3 linked regions of the Astyanax mexicanus genome follow. The protein of the gene in region 3 purifies or fractionates together with the protein of the main gene of each other region. This does not show direct contact. Links are inferred from orthologs where the notes say so. Each region holds a gene or a part of one and is shown on either strand. Other genes may lie near its edges.

Region 1 (7,887 bases), on a different chromosome or scaffold from region 3:
ACTTAAACCCAAGTGGGTCATGCAACAAGACAATGACCATACCCACATAAGCAAAGCCTACAAAGACATTCTTAAAGTTTTGTTAGGAGAAATAAGCCACAATCCCTCCAACACATTGTGCAGGACTGATTACCAGCCTCTGAAAACATTTATTAAAGTTATTGCTCCTCAAGGAATTTACACTAGTTACTGAAAGCAATGTCTCACAAACAGGGTGCAGAAACTTTTGTACTATGATCTGAAGAACGAAAACTGTAAAAAAACTAATGTGTGTATCTACAAATATTCCAAATAAGTCCTTAACCCAATACAAAGGTTGTGAAAGGACCAACAAAAACAATTTATACAAGGAAGCCCACTAAGGATAGAGGAATGAGCCAAAATGCCTCCAACCTGTTACTGGAAACATCTAAATGAAGCTATGGCTTCCAATGATGAACTTCTAATAGGCCATTTTTATAAACAGTGTAGAAACATATGCTTAGCCCAAGATCCATTTGGGAACCTTTTTGATGTGTTTTAACCCTCTTTGGCATTGTGTTGCCCTCAGGCAAAATAACTCTTTTATGATCATTACACATTCATGTCACAGTCTCAGAATGTCACATTAAGAATAGGTGTAAAAGGGGGAGATGCAATACTTTCAGGAATCAAAACCATATGAGATTATTAATTGGATTATTAGTTATTAAATTGAAATAACTAAAACATGAACATGTGCATTACATTTTTCACAATAGTTTTATTTTAAAATGTATATATTTGTATAAATTGCTTGTTTTCTCCCAAATATGTCATGCATATATACAGATAACCTTAAATTAAAGTACCCTTTGGAATATTGTTGCCTTGAAGCAACAAACTAATTATGATTGATCCAATAACAGGGAACCCCCAGCTTCCAAAAAGTGATATAATTATTATAGTGATATAATAAATATAAAGTGCAATATTTTTTTTTCTCCAAAAAATAATAAAATTCATGCCATAGAGGGATAAGACCACAGTGATAGTGGATAAGGTATCTCGTACTGGACTTTTTTTTCATTACTATAGCCATATCAAAAATCAGAGCAACTGTCTCAGCTCTATAGGTGTGTCCCTACCTGCTCTGGTCCTTGGAAGCATATCCTGCACACAGGTACGCCCTCAGCGTAACTGATGAAGGAGAAGCGCTCGTCGTGTTTGTCCCTTTTGGAGAAGTCCTCAGCTGCTGTGGGCTTCTGTGTCTCTGGCCCCACAGGACACTCTGTGGAGGGGACACTCCAGTGCTGGAGCCGGAAGCTGGTGTTGTTGTTGTTGGCGGCGCAGGAGCACTGGTTGCCTTCGCTTTCACGGCGTGTGTCTGGTGGTCCGCTCATGGGGCTGAGCACAGGAGGCGTCTGTTGAGCCTGGGGGACCTGGGAGGCCTGTGGCCTGAGCAGGAGCAGCTTCAGGTCACTGAAGAGAACACAGCAGCGGCCCTTCAGCATGCCGGGTGGAAAATCAGCATCCACCACTTGAGTTAAAAACTACTGTAAGAAGCGGATGCTGATGCTGCCCAGTGATGCTGGTGACTGTCAGGTTTCTTTATGAAAGTTTGTACTATGGTAAATCTGGAAACTATAGAAGAAAAGTATAAGTGTATCTCCAAGTAGGTATCCTTTTTGGTAGTAGTCCTTTTGATCACTCTAACTTGGCTTCATCGCTGAAAGCTCATTGATCTTTTTCATCCACAGAAGACACATGTATGACTTTATCCAATATTCATCCCCAGTAGATATGGATTGTGTAAATGTAAGCAGGTGTCAGAAGCCATGGGATTCATTCAAAGGAAAAATAAAACAATGCTAAGAAGCCAGGAGCAACTTTCCAGGTCCCACGACAATGGCAAATGATGGCATATTAAGAAAGTAATGATCTAACATAAGTAAGACAAAAACTCTTGCCACATAAATTGTCATATTTTTAGTCTTTCTGTATCATCAGCATGTTGAGTAGCCTAAGGATCCTCCAGGTTCTCCAGGTTTAAAAAATCACAGCCAGCTCAGGTCCAGTCCACTAGTCCACTCCACTCTGTGCAGGCTAGTAAAGTGCCCGATGTCCTCCCCTAGTTTCCAGCACTTCTGCAGGCTTGTTCTCCTGTCGCTGCATCTTTATCATCTTTATCACAAGGCGAACGTGTAGGTTCAGCTTCTGCTTTATGTGCAGGGTACTTCACATCTCTCTTCACATCTTCCTGGGAGGTTGGCTGCCTGCACTTCCAGCACAGTTCATCTCAATCCCTGCCCATCGTCACCAGCAGCAGCTTTCAGAAGAGATACGGCTTAAAATCCAAGCATGGAGCTGCAGGGTCTGCTTTCCCGCTCAGGTTTTGTGTGGCAGGACTGGTGCTGGAGTCTCTCTCTCTCCCTCCCTTGCTCTCTATCTCTCTCTCTCTCTCTCGTATTTGTTCGTTCACTCTCTCTCTACCAATCTCCCTCTTCCCTCCCTCTCTCACTCTCTCTATCTATCTCTATCCTCTCACTCTTTCTCTCTATAACACACTCTCTACCAACCTCTCTCTCCCTCTCTCTCTATTCTCCCTCTCTCACTCTATCTGTATCCTCTCTCTCTCACACACACTCTCTATCAACCTCTCTCTCTCTCCCTCACTCGATCTTTCTCTCTGTGTCTCTCTTTCTCTATCTCTCTTTATTCTCTTTCTCTTTCTCTCCCTCTCTCTCTCTATCTCTCTCTTACACACATACTCTCTACCAACCTCTCTCCTCACTCTCCTCTCTATCCTCTCTCTCTCTTTCATTGTGTGCATGTCTCTCTTTCTCTACCCCCCTCTCTCTTTCTCTCTCTCTCACACACTATCTCTCTCTATCCCCCCCTATCTCTCTCTCTCTACCCCCCCCCCCCCCCCCCCTCTCTCTCTGGCTCTGCGGTTTCAGCACCGCTTGGCGGGACAGCTCCCCAGCAGCAGCGGCGTCACTCAGACCTGCGTGACGCTCCTCAGCTCCTCCCCGCCGCTGCGGGAGATCAACACCCCCCTGTATTATCATTAGTCTCCAGCCAACACTGTTTCCCTTTCAAACTCGTTACAGAGATCACTGAACTGCTGGTTTGGCGGTTATCCCCATTAAAGTTTGGCTGTATAAATTTTATGGGTCTAAAACTGTGTAATTGCAGCCTAGAACCATTTCTTGTCATTTATTACTTTAATTTGAGGCTATTTTCTGGTGGTTATTATGTCATCTTAAACAGACATTAGTTTGGCTAAGTAAACCAGTTTACTGGATCAGGTTACAATAGATTATACAATAGTAATATCCCACAGTTTTAGGTCATTGGATGAATAAATTAATGAATTAATGAATAAATTAATAAATGAATGGGTAGGCTGGTGGGCAATTAATTGGGTGGATGAATGCACGAATCAGTGTGTGGTGGATTGATGTGTGGATGAATAAATTAATGAATGACTGGGTGTTAAAATGAATTGATACATTAATTAATCAGAGGTTATGTTGGTGGGTAGATGGGAAGATTAGCTAGATAAATCGACAAATTAGTTAATTAATTAATGGAGTAATAATTGGGTGGGTGTAAAGATCGATGAATTAATCATGAATAAGTGTGGGGGTTTGGGGGGATTCGTGATTTAAACTGTTTGCACTGTAGGTGGTATGCTTAAAATAAATTCTATTGTTCATGAATAAAAATAGATAATCAGACTTTTTAAACCTTGTCATCCAAAACATGTGCATAGTTTTGTAAAATGGGACTTGAACAATAATACAATAATACAATAATGGACAAATCAATGCACAAAGCATATAGCACAAACATTGGAAATGCCAACTGCTTTTTAGTAAAATAAAAGAATGAATCCAGATTAAACATTTTGTCAGGTTTTTGAAGATAAAAATTCCAGTTGGGTTTTTACTTCATATCTGAATAATATTAGACATTAACTATGTGCTGATGCAAATCTCTGTATTCTAGAAATCCAATCGGAATTAAATCCATCCACTACCCACATATTCACCCTGACACCAAATATATTTCATCTTTTGATTTGCCTCTTGTTGTTTAAAAAAAAAATTATTGCAAAAAATAAAAAATAATAATTTTGTTAATGTTTTCACCTTTGCTCTTATTTGGAAATACAAATACACAAACCAAAAAAAGTCTTATTAGAAAAAATAATTAATAAAAACTTTTTTTTTACTATTTATTTACTTATTCGTTTATTTATTTGAAAATTACAGAACAATAGCCTGTAGTATTTACTCAATAAATTCATAATATTTGCAATATACTCAACATCTTTACTCATCTGGATCTGAATATGAAAAGGTATATAATTAAAAGTCTCTCCAAGAAATTAAACTTAAATTAAAAGAAGATAAAAAAGCTGAGGAACAGATTTTGCTTAACAGAAAGAAACCGCACATATTTAGAAATGTTGCGATTTTAAATGTGTTTTGTATCTATTATGTACTGTCTTCAATCCTAGTTTTATTGGACTTTTATTGTTATTATTATTATTATTATACAACCGCGCTGGCTCTCCGCCCCGCCTCCTGCAGATCGCTTCCGGTGTCCTGTCGAGTTATGCAACCTTGTCAAATCGTGGTACCTTAGTTTTTATTTAAACGTAAAAATGCAAATAAAACACGCTTTAAGAAATCTGCGTCGAATGGCATATTTAGATAAGCTAACTAACTCTTTTAAAGCCAACTAACTGTTTAAAAATAAAAAAGTAAAGTTACGGTGATGAGACGTGATTAGATAAATAGTTAAGTTATATTTTGTATTTTTTAATCGCTTATTATTGCTATTTCTTATTCTTAACAGCTAATACAGATTTGTATCACTCAAACACAAAGAACAACAGTGAGTTGACCTTTAAAGCACACAAGATGAAGATCAATTGAATAATCATAAATCGTAAGAACTTGAAAATATCACAAAAATATATAATGTGGATCCGCGCAGGCGCACTGGTGTAAGAAACACATATCGATGGGTAGCATAGCTCGACAGAACACCGGCTGTTGGGCGCTAAGGTTGAAAGTTGAGCTGAAGTTCTGAACTAACGGCGGAATGAGGAGGAAACCGGTTTATTACTGAGAATTTAAACACTTTTCTACACAGATCCTGATCTGTAAACACTCTCTACAGCATTCACACCTGTTTACCGCGCAGATAAACACACATAACCCTGTACAGATTACTGTACAGACTTATTTACAGCGCTAAGCTAACCGGCTAATCGGCTAACAGGAGCTTCGCCGATGTAAGCTAACTTAAATAAACAAGCAGCGGAGAAACTGACTGAGCGGCACCATGACCCGCTGCACTAAACTTGAACCACACACCCACCTTTTATAATAACAACCAGCTCCACCAGGCTTAATGTTTAAACCAGGCTCAATGTGGTGAGCTGGGGTTATCTGCTTAAGCTGCGCAGCTCCAGTCCAGGATTAAAGCGAGGTGACATCTGAGTCAGTTTTTCTGACTGATGGTAGGAATGTCCAACACTCTGACTCCTGAACAGAAGAGGAAAATCGAGGAGAACCGTCTGAAAGCGCTCGCAAGAAGAGCTGAGAGACTCGCACAAGGGAATCCACAGCCTCTTCAAAACGACCTCTTCTCCTCCAAGCAGCAGCAGCATGCTTCCTCTCCAACACCTCAGCCCCGTCCAACAGCAGGACCATCCAAAAAATACACACCACCTTTACCCTCACACCGAAACAACCCTCAGCCCTCAACAAGCAGAACAGCCACTGCCAGACAGGTATGAACAGTCTGTGCCCTTACTGTGTGCAGTAGGGGTGGGCAATATGGCCCTTAAATAATATCACGATATTTCAGGACTATTCAAGGATTTTGACATTGAATTAAACTTCAAATGTGAAGTTTAACTTGAAATTTAACTTCAGAAATACACTACTGCACCAAATTAATATTTAAGTAACAAATACAGTGCATTATAACATGCAATATTGGCACTGCTTTGGAGAGCTGTGATGAGGTTTGGTTACAGTGCATTACTGGCTGATAATGGCACTCATAGACCTCCTCTCAACCAATCACATTGCAGGGTCGGAACTACCTGTGGTATAATACATTTTATCAGGTGATATTATTGCATAGGATATCATATGAAACACCCTTAATTGACACTTTTACCACATTGTAACAAAGGTCAATTATCCAACATGTAATAAAACTAATAATGCACTCCATGTATCCAGGATTGAGGAAAAATAAATGATACTGAACAGATATAATCTGTCTCTAGTAGATATTTAACGAGAAATATGAATGAGTGAAAGAGTGTACTCAACATCTGGATAGGGCTGCAAATAATGATTATTTTGGTAGTCGACTAATCTGATAATTAGGACTTGAATGAAAAGAGGTGTGTCCACACTTTTGATTAGTACTGTATATTATCAGGATTTTACCAATTAAAAAAAAAATTCTTTTAAAGTTTTAGATTTGAGCATTATTTTAAATTGGTCTCTTATGTGATTTTTGTAAATTTATGGAAGTGTTTTATTAGTCTGTTCACTGTGACATTTTAAGCAATATTTAGAACAACTGCCACATTCTCATTATATCAGCAAGTTAAAAACTGCTAAAAACATTTTGGAAATATTCATGTATCTGCAAATAGTGTAAACAACAATTGTTAATTCAACAATCAAACATTAGTCCATTTAATGGTTTACACAGGTGTGTGTATTTTTTTCTCTTTCTCTTAGATCCAGGTCATAGATGCTCTTCCCATCCCTAACAGACACTTTCCAACAAATGAACCCCAGACTTCAGGTCCTTCAGCTAGTTCCAAACCTCCTGAGGTCAAACCTGATGCATCGAAGGGTACCTTCAAGGCCAATAGTTTCTATGGACAGAACCAGGGGCTGACTGCCCAACCATCTGACAAGAAGACACCTAAACCACCAGACACTTCCTCTGCTGGACCTGCTAAGAAACCCACAGTGTCTGTGAGGGGGAAATGTGTGCCACATACGGAGGAGCGGTTTAGAGTAGAGGTCGGCTACCATGCAGAGCTCATTGCAGTGTTCAAAAACATACCGTCCAGAAACTATGGTAAGAAAAATACTTTACACCAACCAATTCACTCTCAAACATATATTACAGGTCACATATGATATCTATCTGTAATAATTTTAATTAAGAACATTACAATAGGTAGGCTAAACCTAAAACCTAAAACTCACTGCAGTAAGTGACAAAAGCCTACGTTGAATATTAGGGCTATGTATTGGCAAGATTTTGACGATACAATTCAATATGTCACTGTTTATTGCAATACAGTAAGCAAGTATATATATTTCGATTGTTTAAATTTATTTTTCGGAAATCTGATAGTTTGAAAACACTTATTCTTAAAATCTTAGTAAAAGAAAAGTTTACTTTGTATGTAATCAGAACAATTTAATCTGCACTGCTATCTATTTGTCAAGTTATCTAAGTGGTCCAGCGGTCTAAAGGGCTGTCATTAAAATCGGGAGATCGCTGGTTCAAATCCAGGTCATGCAGCTTAAATAAAAAAAAAAATAGTTATGGGAATCCAGTTATGAGAAAATGTTAAACAACTACTTAAAAAACAATTGAAAAAAGTTTTCAACAATCCTGACATGTTATCACAGAACCTACAGGTATCTCCTGCCATAGTTGTTTATTATGGGGGTCCTTACATACTAAGAATAAACATAGAAATACAATACGATATAATATAACAGCTGGTAAATGGTGTCTTTGTCTACTGATAGAGGGATTAATATTGCAGCAATTTTAGAGCAATTAGTGATTTTGGTAAATTGTGTTGTGTGGCGATTGAAATATTTACTACACTATATATATAATATATACTACTATATG
Region 2 (7,263 bases), on a different chromosome or scaffold from region 3:
AAAATATATAATCCAAATTCCATTTCTCATTTGTAACCCTACACCTTGTTTTTAAAAGAACCATTCCCCTTTGAACAGAGTAATAAGGAGAAGGAGTAAAATCCCTTCAAGAACCCGATACAGATAGTTATAGCAGTGAAGCGCTAAAGTCCAGCAACCTCGCTGCTTGTTAACTAGAAAGCTTTAGGGTATTGTATGCTTTCAGAAAAGAGGCAGGTGGTGAAGCAATTATTTATTATTTTTAAATTCCTTAATTCCTTTGTAATGGGGAGCTAAAATAAGCTTTTATTTTGTTTTTCTGTTCCATGTTAAAGTGCTGCAGCCTCTGCTGTTTGCTTAAAGGTGGACCGGAATAGTTAGCTAACTAGCTATCTAGTGAGACAAACTACTAGCTTTTTTATGCTTGTTATGAGGGAAAAGGCCTGAAAACATGTAAACTACACATTATATTATAGTAATATTGTGGTTAGTGTAACTTGTAACAAGGAAAATACTCAAATTTGTGGGTCTTCTTTGGTCTGTCTCACAAAATCTCAGTTTAACATTGTCATGTAGCTCTAACACTTCCCTCTACCTCTCTAGCCTAACAAGAATTAGGCTAACAGTGTAAAAGTGGTGAAATGGGAATGTACCATTTCTAGTGCTCTCCTGGATAAAAGCATGTATTCCCAGTTCCCAGCCAACAATTAACAGCACTTGGAGCATTAATAATACACTTACTCCTGATATGGGGACAGTGGAGCTGACGTCAGGATCCTGAATGGGGCACTCTAACATGGACTCATCACCCGGCGGCACATAAACATTCCTCCTCTTGAACAGCTGCAGTTCAGGAATAAAATACATAATATATAAAAAGAAAGATAAATTCATAACTATTTTACACAGGATACAAAAAAACATTCTAAATAATCTCACAAGTTACCATCTGTGTGTGATTCCAAAAATATATATTTAACTTGCATAGGTAATTTGTGTGAAAAAAACTAAATACATAAAAAAAATAAAATACATAAATAACAAGCTATTTACTATTTATGTTAGTCACATCACACTCTTTTGAGCTTTTGTAAAACTTTAGTAATGGTGCACAGTTACCAAAACAGTGTTTGAAAGATTTTGGACACAAAGTTATGCAAAACTTATGCAAAAGTTTTGCATAACATCTTTCACATCCTCCACCTAGACATACAACTGTTTGTATTCTGAATTTATCGTTTTAATTTATCATTAATTGCAAAATGAATATGTGAAATTTCATTTTCACCAATATGTCATTTAATTGCAAAAATATGCTGAACTACATACATATTTTATGTACAGCTCTGGAAAAAAATAAGAGACCACATTAGTTTGTAAAGCAGTTTTACAATTTTAATATTTATAGGTATTAGTTTGAGTAAAATGAACATAATTGTTTTATTCTATAAACTAAAATCTCCCAAATTCCTAATAATTCTCAAATAATGCAAAAGAAAACAAGTAAATATTTTTTATTAAGATTTAAGAGTTCAGAAATTAATATTTGGTGGAATAACTCTGGTCTTTCATCACAGTTTTCATGTATCTTGGCATGTTCTCCTCCACCAATCTTACACACTGCTTTTGGATAACTTTTTGCCACTCCTGGTGCAAGAATTCAAGCAGCTTAGCTTGGTTTGATGGCTTGTGATAATTCATCTTCCTCTTGATTATATTTCAGAGGTTTTCAATTTGGTAAAATCAAAGAAACTTATTTTGAAGTGGCTTTTATTTTTTCCCAGAGCTGTATATATAAACTTATACGTTGTGCATGGCTGAAACAGGCAATTCCACATTCTGTTACTATGAAATCTCATGCAGTTGCATTGTTTGAACACCAGACGTCAGATTTCTGCTAGTGCTGATCCGAAAACCCAGAGACCTTTCTAAGAAACATCAAAAGGAAGGCACCTGCCCATCATATGAATCGTATGTACAAAAATTGTTGGCCTAAATGAAACAAAGCATAGTTGTTTACCAAATCCAGATTATGCCTATATTCATTAATTTGTAACTACATGAGATCTCTCATGTGAGTCATGTCTGTGTTAAATTCTGTAATGATCTACTGAGCACAATGTGAGATCAATTAGGATGCTCTCCTTGTCACATGCCTACAACAAATGTTGGTCACTCTGTTTTGCTCGATTGCCCCAAGATATTATATAATATGATTTGTGGTTGGCATGCAGGAGAATCTGGAGTCATGTAAGAGGTGGGACATCTATTACAATTACACTGCCTAGCTTTAGAAGAACACAGGATAAATTACAGTTTTCCTGGTTGAGGTAATGTTACTTTTAACATAAGTACAGGAGCAAGCTACTAAATGAAGCTGAAGGGCAGAGTGTAACTGCTAAAAACATGGGTAAGAAGAGTATTTAAAACTTTCGGGAGTTTATCATTTCTGAGCTAAAAACAGCCTGTGTGTATGTGTGTGAGTAAGAGCAAGAGAGAAAGAGATTAGGAGGAAATATTACAGGATTTCAGACTAATACGAATTAATAGGAACAAACCACTGGACGTGGTCCAATTCCACCCTTTGGATTTGTCTGATTCTGCAACAAAGTGTACTTGAGTAATACTGCTTTACAGGCCTACCTGTTCTTCTCTCTTCTGTTTCCGCAGCTGGATGCCCTCTTCCTCCCTCCGTCTTCTCATCTCCTGCGGGTTCAGGGCCTTGTTCTTGTAGCTTTTCATTCGATAACTGTCTTTTCCTGGACTCGCCATTTTTGTTGTCCTAGTGGTCATACAGCAAAAGCTGATCAAATTGGTCTTGCACGCTGTGCAAAAGTTTCAAGTTTATAAGTATATAAAATTCCAGACATTTTTATTTCACATTTAAAACTTGCACTACATGATGATGGCTCAAAAATGTCATCAATATCCATAAATTCTTTCGACTTTCTTTTCGATTACAATTTAGATTTTTGGCTCTTACATAACATCAGTTATTTTAATATGTGACTATTAACACTCACAATATGCAGATCAGACAATTAATAATAACGCCCCCCTGCTGACGTCCAATCATCTGGGTCTCACTGCTATCAGAGGCATACTGCTGCAGCAGTAGCTCAGCCAATCAGCTCTCTCTCCTGCCGCACCTCTAAACCCATACATCACTCAACGCCCCTTCCAATTTTTAGCCTTTTTCCAAATTTGAGCTGAAGGTGGGGTCATCAAAAATCAGGGGGTTTAGTGCCCCTTAAAGACACTTTTAAAGCACAACAATATTTAACAATCCTTTAAGTGGTGTAGACAGAACATTAAATAATGATTAAAAAAATCTCAAACTGTTTTTATTTTATTTATTTTAATATGGAAAAGCTGAATATAGTTATACTAAACACATTAGCATAACTGTATGCTAACATTAGCTAGCTAGTCTCAGCAGCCAATATTATAGAAATACCACAAGTTATATTAACTATACAGCTTAAAAATGTACTGTATTTAAAAGTTAATCTGTATTTAAAAAATAAATCAGGTGGGATTTTGAGTTCTAAAACTGGTAGCGCTAAATAACAGCTGGTTTATTAGTAAGCTATGATAGCTAGCGTTAGCTAACTAAGCTAGCTAGCTAGATGCCAGGTGGGGCAACACAAAACTGAACCCACCCATTCCACCTTAAAGAGTAGAGTAGTTACCATAAACATATATGAGCAGTTAAATTCTGGAGTCTGCAGGATTTAGCTGGCACTGCTGCCCTGTATAAGGTGGAACGGACAATTAGATTAAGAAGGCAACTCCAGCATTTTGGAGCATTAAACAGCACCCAACTAAGATGTATGTTAGCATTACAAGCTGGTAAACCAATGTAACTGGGAACAATGTGTTTTAATCCGCACTAAGAAGGAAATTTATCTGTTTTTTCTTGGTTTCGCAACCCAAATATACCAGCTTTGCTCGCTAGTGCTAACCTAACGCTAGGTTAGCAGAGCTAATGCTAAGCTAGCTAACCTACGTCACTCCGCCTCTGCCCTCCTTTCTCAGCGTAATTAAAGCCCCTAATCACCCTTAACCCAACCTAAAGTCACACCGGACGGTGACTGAGGCTCACCTGTTCACTTCTAGACCCCAGTCCTGTGCGGATAGTCGCTTTTTTCGTGTTTTATTTGCTGTTCCGTTCCTCTCGCCTCCTTCCCGATTCACTCCGGCTGAGGAGGGCAATATGGCGTCCCCAGGTTACGGCCGAGAAGCGCGTCACTTCCCGCGATGTTTCCAGCGGGTCAGGCGAGGAAAACGAAAATAAAGAGGCTGAGTTTCAGTGAAATGAGAACCCGGAGAACCTGAGGTGCAGCGAGAAAAACTGATTAACAGGTTAAAACAACTCGAGTAAGTATTTAACCTACACCATTTAAATGTAGCTAGATATGCTGGAGGTTTATCTGTGTGTTTCTATTGTCTCTGAATGGTTGAATATGATTGAATACATTGAAGGGGCTCATTCATTCTGTCTAAAACATGCCATCGTCCTCGTTTGATTAAAAAAGCAACATATTTCTGACTTCTAGTGCACGAACTTGCATGTGGGAGTGTTTATTTAGATTTAGATCCCTGCTGTAAACAAAACTGCACAGCTCCAGCTGGTTAAGCTAAGCCGGTTGACCAGTTTAGATTTTGTCCAATGTAGAGTATGTTTCTGTTTTTGTTAACACAGACTTTGATGGTTTAGTTGCTCTACAAGCATGACAAACCAAAAAAAGCTAGCTAGATATCCAAACTTGACCATGCTCTGCGACCAAGCTGGATATCCAGAATAACCAGCATGTACAAGCTGGTCAATCTTCAAAACAAATAATACCAAGCCGGTTGACCCGCAGGACCATCCTGACCAAGCAGGTTAGCCAGAATAACCAGCCTGACCAAGCTGATCGACCAGCAAGACCCGCCTGACAAAGCAAGTTGACCTGTATGACCAGCATTATCAAGCTGGTTGGCCAGAATAACCAGCCTGACCAAACTGGTTAACCGTTAAGACCAGCCTGACCAATCAGGTTAACCAGAATAACCAGCCTGACCAAGCTGGTCAACCTTCATAACATTCATTACCAAGCTGGTTGACCAACAAAACCAGCCTGACCAAGTATGTTAGCCAGAATAACCACCCTGACCAAGCTGGTTGGTCAGAATAACCAGCTTGACAAAACTGGTTGACCATCAAGACCATCCTGACCAAGTAGGTTAGCCAGGATAACCATCCTGACCAAGCATGTTGACCTGTATGATCAGCACAACCAAGCTGGTTGGCCACAATACCCAGCCTGACCAAGCAGGTTGACCACCAAGACTAGCCTTACCAAGCAGGTTAGCCAGAATAACCAGTCTGAATAAGCTGGTCAACCCTTATAACAATCTTTACCAAACTGGTTGCCCAATTGTTGATAAATATGGTAATTTAGTTGGCCAAGGAAGTGTTGCAATAGGCATTCCTGGTAAAACCCTTGATGAGTTTAAAACCCTTAATGAGTTAGCATTATCCTGTTCCAACTGTTCCAGTTGGAAGCCCTGCCGTGAGAGGCATCACGTGGCACATTTTAGTGGTTGTCTGTTGTATCACCCAGCGGTTGAGGCTTTTCTTAAAGTCAATAAGGTTTTAGTCCTTATCAGTCCAGGTTTCCTGGTCACAACACCACTGTAAAGGGCGACGTTTGCTGGATGACTGGCTTATGGTTTGTCAAAAATGACCATCCTGCTTTGCTGAGTCCATTGATGTACCCCATTTTGAAGTGAACTTGGCAAATGTCTTCACATGCATTGTAGAAGCAGGTCTAGCAGTCAACAATCTCTCACCAAGTGATACACTACTGAAAAGTAGCCCCTGAGAGACTTTTAATGTAATGCAGTGGGAGAAGCACTTTTACGCCCCTTTAAAAAGCACATTATTATAATATAATATAATATTATAACAGTACAATTTTGAGATGCTTCATGAAACACTTACTGATTCTGCACGTTTACTATGTACTCCACTGACAGAAGCTGTCCCACCATGCCTGTTTGTGACATCTGCTGCCAAGAGTTTGCATCTGAATCAGAATTAAAAACCCACCTCCTTCTGAGCCACCTGGAAAATGAGATGAGCTGTCCGTTTTGCTCGCTATCAGGAGTCTCCTACGATGAGCTGAACTTCCACATTAGTACTGCACACACAGAGATGGATCTTCAGAACTCACCCACTGACAAGGCATCAGCAGATCGGGTACCAGACCCCACTGAAACCAATGGTGCTAAATGGACTGTGAAGAATTCGCCAGCCTCTTGTAACTCATGGAGAACTCCAGCTTCCCCTCAAACATCAGGTCATCACACTCTCAAAACAGCTAATGAGACGGCTGCGCCTAGTGCAGGAATTGCACTTACTCAAGGTCAAGGAGCCCAGTCCAGGATTAAATCCTCACCTCCTGCGGCAAGCACAGCAAGCGCATCTAAAAAACAAACATCCAGCGTCCACCCTGGGCAGTCTGAGGATTACTCAGCAGAGCATTGCAAGGCCAAACAGAAACGCCTGTCCTCCCCCAAGAAAGGTATTCATCAATAAAATGTCTTAATATATTCTTATATTTATTTTATAGTGGCCTTTGTTTGGATATGTTTGGTTATTTATGGTCGTTTTGTTGCAGAGAGGATGTTTCCCTGTCCGTTCTGCAGTCTGGTCTGCAGTGACTGCTTTATTCTTCAGGAACACGTTGAGCTGCATCTCCAGGACCAGGCTTCATCTGCATCTGAAGGTAGTATAGCGATTGTTACTGGTGTTTTTCAGTGATTTTAGTCTGGTGTAAATGTGCTATGATGCTCCTGGGTCTGTATAGATTCTTCTATTTATTTGTTAAATATTATTAAATATTGCCTATTTTCTCAGAGTGTACAGAGGTGCTCAAGAATAGGACCTTGGTGAAATGGAAAAAATAATCTTATCACAATATAGTTTTCCGTGTCAGTCGATATCGATATGTATCACCATATAAATCAATCACTGTCACACTTAAAGGGTTCTTTTTACTCATAAGTGAGAGATAAGGGAGTTATTTAGTCAGAAGGTAACAAATGAACATTATATAACTATAATATATATATAAATAAATAAATAAATAAAAGCATAACACTTCATTCAAAGATCAGATGTTACAGAATAAAAAAGTAGGCAGAGAACTAAATTCTTTGGTCAGTTCCAAATCAATAAAACCTATCATACAAAATAAAGTATTCTTTTCTTTTTATAACAAAATCTTCAAGCAA
Region 3 (7,698 bases):
TGGATTTCAGGAAAATACGCTGAGCTTCAGTGATGATTTAGTAAGAAGGCTTGAAACACTGGTGTATTTACAGTGTTTCATATGCTGGGACTGCCCTGATTCTGAACCCTGAAGGAAATGTGAGATTTCTGCAGCGGCCTATATAGAAAACGGGGTGAAGGACATACAGTAATAGATCAGGAAGGAGAACAGGCTCTCCAAGTGCAAGCACTGAGAAAATCCAAACGTTGCCTTATCTCCTTTCATTTGCAGCGTTGAGTTACAACAATGGGCAGCAGATTCTCTGCTGAAGCACAAAGCACTACTGTGTTGCCCTCTTATGGCAAGTGTGTATCACTGATGTATAACTGTATTCCTAAGGGGGGACCTGCCCAGCTTACCCAGGTGGGGATAACATGAAACTAGAGACCTGTGTTTGTGCTGCCTTTTCCTCAAGTAACCCTGTCAGACAAGCATACAAAGCAAACTATACCGGTAGTTAGATATATAGTCTACCATTCAAAAATATACATTAAATATATTTTTGTTCTTGTATTTAATAACAACTTCTACAATACTACTTATATACAGAAGCCAAAACATAAGGAGTGAACTACTACTGTAGTTTTTTATCCTATAAAAATCTTAAGTAACAGCCGTTGCTGTGTTTTTTCTTAAAAACTGCTACTAGGTCTATCACAATAACTATGTTTGGAAAATTGTACAAAAACTGTGGCTTCTATAGAGGTATATAGAAGATTGAAGATTGAAGTTTGAATGTGAAACGCCTATTAAGTCCTATTTCACTGTTAATATTTGTACCGTTTTATTAATTATTGTTGCTTTTATGTTGGAGTACCATAAATCATTGATATAAGAAAAGTTTAGATATTACTGTAGCCTGTAAGCAGCTTTAAATCCATTTTGTGTCTTTTTGTTTCCCCTTGTTACACCTTGGAAAACTGATAAAAATACAAGTCAGAAAAAATATCTAGATTTGGACGCTGCTATAAACAATATCACTCAATATATGACCATTTAATGCATTTTTTTTTAAATGATATGAAAATAGCATAATAATGCAATTATACCCTTTTAAAGAGCAATGGAGTTTTAATAATTACAAATGCTCAGAAATGGGACAAAAACTGTCTACATATTTGTTTACATAGTCATTTAATTAAAATAAAACTATTTAAAAATAAAGTGAACAAACTGGCTCAGTCACAATAATGGGACCTCCTTAGTAAGTACACACATGTAGTATTAAGGTGAGAAAAAAATGATTGGGATGTTAATAATGTAATTATTGTGACAGGTAAATGTTATTTTGTATTTATGTAGTTTAGTTATTTTTTATAAAATCTTTACATTAACATCCAAAAAATAACTTAAATAGCTAAAGGACATCTTCATTGCATGTTTTGTCATTTTATCTAACATAATATTTTAGCATCACTTCAGATATAATGATTTATGGCAATAGTACAGCTTTTTGACCTATACAAATAATTTACTTATTGTTAACAGTTTTATATAGCCCAACTAAGTAATAAAAACTATATGCAACTGTACAAAAATTGTAGATTTACCCTAAATCAGACTGGTTCTTTTATACTGAAATTATTGTTTTTGTAAAACAACAGCTTCTATATGTAAATTAACACATTTTAAAACAGTACTTAGATTAATCACGTTAATTCAATTCAACTTCCAGCCCTAACTGCACCAGAGAGGAAACCTAACAGTGTGTTTCTCTTTCTTTCTACAACCTTTTTTCTGATATACACTCCAGTGAGAAACTAGTCACACATTATCAATTGTAAGCAAGTTATTTTTAGGTGTGTAGTAATTAGATAGGTTAAATGTTCACATAATTGTGTTTAACTTATAATACTTAGGCTACTTTCACATTGCTAGGCTGAAGTGACTCAAATCTGATTTGAAAAAAAAAATGGATTTGGCATGTTCACACAGCCATGAAAAAATCAGATCTGAGCCACACTGAGCAAAAAAATCTGATTTGTGTCACTTCAACCTGGTAATGAGAATGTAGCCGTTCATGGCTGTGTGAATGTGCCAAATCAGTCAACTGAGTCAGTTGTATATGTGGTCCTAAATCGGATACGTATCCGATTCGTGAACATGTGGCATGAATGTGAACGGTAAAATCGGAATTCATGCGTCTTTATGCTTTTAAGCATGCGCTACGTGCTTCTCTCTCGTTCCCACACATCTCTAGGTGCAGCTGTGCATCTATAGCTGCAAAAACAGCAAAAGCAAACCACTGGCCTTTTTTTACATCCTCGACCTGAGCATGTTCTTCAGATGAGCTATTTGCTCTCTACTTGAGCAAAATATTCTTCACATATATGGGCTGCTAACGCATCTATTTCACCTTAATAAAGCTACGAGCCGTCACTCAAATATGTCGTTTTTTTGTTGTTGGTGAAGAAGGCGATGTTTATACACGTATCGATGTGCGCATCCGATCTGAGCAAAAAATCGGATTTAAGCAATGTATTTATTATTTTATCGACTGGGCAAAAATACGTACTTTTTTTTATTCAGTTGCGATTTTTTTAATAATTCACATTAACATTTAGTCCCCTTTGAGCTTTTTATATAAGTGTTTTTTCAACATCCTTCCTGACAAAAAAAAAATAAAACTGAAAAATGAGTCACTTCCTTTCCAGAAATCTCATTTTACAGCACACGGCCGACTTTTATTGTTTCAATTCTGAACCAGTCCTTAAACTATAAAACTCACCAATAATAACGAACCCATCTGAATCTTTCTCGGTCGGAGACTTTTTCGTCGAGTCTTTCTTAAACCCGAAGAAACTCAACATCTTCCTAAAACCGAAACAGAAAGAGAGTCAGGTTAACAAGTGAGCTTAGCCACTGTTAGCTATGTCTGCTAAACAGAGGATAATCAAACACATGAGCTCATTTATATCAGTACAACTGCACCGTTTTACGACATAAACTAGAGTAAAACACTGAGTTTAACAGGATTTAAAGAGAACTAACACACAGTGAGAACAAACAAACACGACACCATGACATTCAACACTCACCCAGAACCGCTCTGATTCCTTTAACTACAGAAAAACACGAACCTGGTCTAACTAATTAAACTGATATAACTCTAACAGACTGATACAGTCACTCCGCTGACACTCTCTATCCCTTCATTTTAATATTTTCGCATTTTACGGCAAGTTTACAGCTTAAAAAGTTGTTGAAGTTTTTTTTTCTGTTTACATCCAGCTGCTCCGACTCTTCAATTTTACAGTCCGACTGGAAACAGAGCCCGGAGAGGCTGGATAAAAAAAAAAAATGATTTACTCTAATATTGATGTTAAATACACATGATACTTATGTATAATTTAATATATATTTAAAATGTCTAAAACTAAAATATTTATATTAGAAAATATTTAGCTTTCAACGAAACAAAAAAAAAACATTTAGTAAATATATAGTGTGATTATTTCCAAATAACTTAATTATTGTAATTTATTTTTCATTACAATTGTATAGATGAAAAAAACTAAAAAAATATTAACCTAGACCACATTACGAACGTTTTTTTAGTTCCTGGTAGGAACTAAAATACTGAAACGGTGTTCTGTCGAGTTTTGCTACCCATCGATATGTGCTTGTTTAGGACAGTGCGCATGCGCCGACCAACATTTTTAAATATGTTTTCACGTTTTTCATGATAATTCCTTAAAGATTTTATTGGGCGCATTACACAACCTGCATGTAAATAGCAGTTGAGAATAATAATAAACTATAACACTATAAAAACGGTTTCTAATCACGTATATGCCTTTAACTTTTTAACTTAACCTGATACATTTATTTAGCCTATCCACATATCATACCTAGACTTCTACTGAGAGTTTTTTTTAATAATGTTTGTAATATGGTGCTGTTTTTGCATGTTTAACTTATTAATCAATAAATAGTACTAGGGTATCACGGTTTGACAAGGTAGCACAACTCGACAGAACACCTGCCCACTTCCTACTTCCCTCGTCTAATCCGAAATGACTAGTAAACGCTAGAGGGAGCCCGCGACCGTATCCTGGAGATAAAAAGAACTAATTGGCTAAAGTATCAAATAGTAACGAACAACTTGTCTAGGATTTTCATTTCAAAAGTAGAAAAGTATTTTTCTAAAATAGCAAAGCAAACGCAACTGCATATTTTCTTTTTTCTACAGTAAACAGTTTTAAAAAACTGTTTAATAACAAAAAAATAGGTTATACATACAAAGCATGTGCATTTAACATCAAAACAGCAATACATAAACATGTTTTATTCAGCACATATTGGTTATACATGCAAATAATGTTTTATTTAATATAATTAAATTTTATATATAGTTCTAAAGTGAGCACATTCAAGATTGTATTATAATTTCCAGTAGAAGGCAAAACATTTAGTAAAGTTGCTGTAGTAGATGTAGTATGACTATTTCCATATTATTGCCATTAAATTGTCATTATAATTTTTATAGACGGTAAAAACAGTTTAATAACATTAATATCAGCCACATTGTGAATTTATGTTCGGGTAGGAACTAAAGTGCTGAGCCGGGTTTTGACCCGCTCGGAAACACGTGAAGCAAAAAAGGAAGTACGTCAGAATTTCCCGGGATAATTTTTGACATCTTTTTGGCGCGGTTTGTGTTTGTGAGTCGCAGTGTTTTTTTTCAGGCAGTAGTTTAAGTTTATTTAGTTTGAAATACGGATTTAGACCCTCTTTAAGCCGCTGAAAATGACGGGCGTGTTCGAGTCTCCCAAGAGCAGGATAAACGCGGCGATGATTTCTCAGCACGTCAACAGACCGGTGTGCTTCGTAGGACGAGTGGAGAAGGTGAGGAGTGAGCGGGTGCTATCAGACTCTTTAATCACTTTAATAGATATCAGACTTCAGTGTTTAGCAGCAGTAAATAATTTATCTGTGCTGTGAATCAGGAAAAAATCACTAGGACTGCCCCGATAGATACTAAACTATAACTAACGTCCAGGACTTTCCCCGCAGCTTCTCAGTGTATTCAGATAAAGACAGGGTGAACTAGCGTAATGCTGGGCAGTTATTTTAATGCAGATTTCTGAAATTTAGTCAGAATTAGTAACGTTATATCAGAATGTGTTCTCATTAAACAAAATGGGAAATGGAAGCAAAATACAATCGTGACAGCAATGGAATATTGTTAGTCCTCTCTTAGTTAAATTTAAAAAGTCAGACAACAGTACCAGTCTGAATTGTATATATAAATACTAAAGTCATCCATACTATGACGAAAACATATGGAATTGCTGGTACCACTGTAAAATAAGGATCCTTTATAAAGGGTTTATAAAGGAGTTTTTTAATAGTTATACATTTTACAAGTTGTAAACACTTTAAAAACATTAAGGACATACAACACACAAATAGAAAGACAACAGTAAAAACAACTTTTTTTAAACATATCTAATAAAATAATATAGAAATTCAGTTTAGTCATTTAATATGTTGTTATAGTAAAATTAAAAAAATATTAACAAAATGTTAATAATGACTGATGGAAAAGGCAAAGTAAGATTCTAGTTCTAGTAAGATCTGAGGTTTAACAGTATAAAAGTGTACTTGGAATTACTATTTGGTACACAATAGGCCACTGTGGCCCTTCCTATTTACATGTTGTAACTGCTTTTTTTTATAACTTACTTAATAACCAACTCCTTTGTACACTGTTTATAAATCCTTTTTAAAGGAACCTTATTTTAAAGTGATACCGATTTTTTTATTGAACAAAAATGTGTCAAACAAACCAGAATATGCGTGTTATATTTTAGATTCTTTAAAGTATCTAGAGTCACCTGGAATAGCTTTCAATAGAGTCCAAACTGGTACTGACAGGTCCTGTGTATATGAAGTTTTAAAATTGTATTTATTAGAAATACAATAAGGCTCATACATTTCTATTATGTGATTCAGAAAAAGTAAAATAAAATGCACAACTCTTAATGGACCAGCTCTGATTTTATAACATTTAAATGTATAAATGTAATGTGTGTTTTTCACCTAATTATTAAGTTTATTCATTAGATAACTGAAACACAGGAAATGATGCTCTCTTGTGGCTAAATGAGGTCAGATTAACAAAGCTGTCCCAGAGGAGTCAAAGCTGTTATTGGCTGTTTTTTTTTTTTTTTTTAGTTATGTATATTTAACATAAAGTGACAGGCTTTGGCATAGAGTACATAGAGAGCTGACAGCTGAGAGACTGTGTTAAATTCTTCAAGGTTTCCTCTTAACCCTACAATATGATTATCTTCTGAAATGTCAAAGGTATTATTTATGTACTTACCTTACTGTTTTGTGTCTATGGAAAACTGTTTTCCCCCTATTCTAGAAGCGCCACTAGGTGGCGCACATTGGCCGTATTTTACACTGCATGTGTCAAATCCTCACGAAGTCCCTAACATCTAGTAAAGGCTGTTTTCCCCCCAGCCTTCACTCTGTTGTGTCATTCTAATGTATGTTGCTTTTAAAACCTTGCTTAAAATGTATGTCCTCTTTTTAAAAGGTCCATCCTACTGGAAAGTCGTTCACAATGACCGACGGAGAGGGAAAGACGGCATCAGTGGAACTCAACGAACCAGTAGGTGCAGTTATTTCATTGCAGATGCTGAAACACTTAATTAAATGAGTGTAAAATAGGGCTGCAATTAATGACTATTTTGGTTAATTTAACTGATGATTGTCGATTATTGGTATGATTAGTCGTGATTATTTTTGTCATGCCCTCCATTTGTACTTCCTACTGGTAAGGACAGCTAAACCTTTAGGCCCCAAGACCAGTTTTGCGGCACATTTTGATAGTTTGATGTACCTATATTAAACCTAAAATTACAAAGTATATTATAGGAAACATTCACACAGACTGGATGTTGTTTTCAGGAGATTCTAGAATACTTGTATCTATTTTTCACTTTTTTATTTTACTTTTTTCCAAGGAGAAACCTCCCTGAAATAATTGTTTAAAAAGATTTTTTTGTAACTATAGTCTGTAGTAACTATTACATATTTTTAAAATTTTAATGAAGTGGACAGTGTACAGTATCTCTAACACTTATCCAGCTAATGTCAGTTTAACTAATGTTAGTAATGTTAATGAAGAAGTAAAGCCTGTTCAAACTCACCTCAGCAGCTCTCTGCATTAATTTAACTCACCATGGGTAATAGTTAATAGAAAAGTCAGTGTTTAAAACTGTACAGAACTAATAAAGATGAACTGTAGGGTATTGTGGAGTAAGATGTATTCGCCACTGACTAATTGCAACTAAGTCCAACTAACTGTTGATCTTTATTCTCATACTACAGTCACTGTGTATTTCTTTGTATGACTTGTCACATTAACAGTTTTTGTTTGGAAAATATATAGTGGCAGAAATTATTTCAATAAAATAATTTGTCAATATTTATATAGGCAATATTTGGTACATGTCAATATATTGTGTGATAAATCAATAGTGTAATTATCGTAACAGGACAAAGTGATTGACTGTTAGTCTTTCTTAGAGTTTATGATTATTTTATGAAATGTTTCGCATCCTTACTGTACGTAAGTGCTGAATTATATTGTATTATGTATTGTTTAAAGTATGAGTGTATGTATGTTTGTATGTATTGTTCAGATCAGTATACTGTGAT

Evidence for each region.
Region 1: the proteins of rpa3 (region 3) and smarcal1 purify together in Homo sapiens (affinity purification with mass spectrometry; 3 studies listed by BioGRID and IntAct, with this or other methods). This does not show direct contact. The link is inferred for Astyanax mexicanus from reciprocal best matches to the Homo sapiens genes RPA3 and SMARCAL1.
Region 2: the proteins of rpa3 (region 3) and zufsp purify together in Homo sapiens (affinity purification with western blotting; 3 studies listed by BioGRID, with this or other methods). This does not show direct contact. The link is inferred for Astyanax mexicanus from reciprocal best matches to the Homo sapiens genes RPA3 and ZUP1.

The regions. Positions count from the first base shown.
Region 1 is NC_064418.1:40,252,815-40,260,701, forward strand, and holds the start of smarcal1 (SWI/SNF-related matrix-associated actin-dependent regulator of chromatin subfamily A-like protein 1), read left to right. Parts: upstream 1-4,847; 5' UTR 4,848-5,494; coding exon 5,495-5,770; intron 5,771-6,743; coding exon 6,744-7,092; intron 7,093-7,887. Other genes in the region: marchf4 (membrane associated ring-CH-type finger 4), read right to left, coding at 1,107-1,472. UniProt on the Homo sapiens protein: ATP-dependent annealing helicase that binds selectively to fork DNA relative to ssDNA or dsDNA and catalyzes the rewinding of the stably unwound DNA. Rewinds single-stranded DNA bubbles that are stably bound by replication protein A (RPA).
Region 2 is NC_064411.1:31,760,786-31,768,048, reverse strand, and holds the start of zufsp (zinc finger-containing ubiquitin peptidase 1), read left to right. Parts: upstream 1-4,225; 5' UTR 4,226-4,359; intron 4,360-6,003; 5' UTR 6,004-6,016; coding exon 6,017-6,551; intron 6,552-6,647; coding exon 6,648-6,755; intron 6,756-7,263. Other genes in the region: kpna5 (importin subunit alpha-6), read right to left, coding at 721-822, 2,623-2,751. UniProt on the Homo sapiens protein: Deubiquitinase with endodeubiquitinase activity that specifically interacts with and cleaves 'Lys-63'-linked long polyubiquitin chains. Shows only weak activity against 'Lys-11' and 'Lys-48'-linked chains.
Region 3 is NC_064410.1:35,612,482-35,620,179, forward strand, and holds the start of rpa3 (replication protein A 14 kDa subunit), read left to right. Parts: upstream 1-4,624; 5' UTR 4,625-4,770; coding exon 4,771-4,869; intron 4,870-6,571; coding exon 6,572-6,646; intron 6,647-7,698. Other genes in the region: umad1 (UBAP1-MVB12-associated (UMA)-domain containing protein 1), read right to left, coding at 2,750-2,831. UniProt on the Homo sapiens protein: As part of the heterotrimeric replication protein A complex (RPA/RP-A), binds and stabilizes single-stranded DNA intermediates that form during DNA replication or upon DNA stress.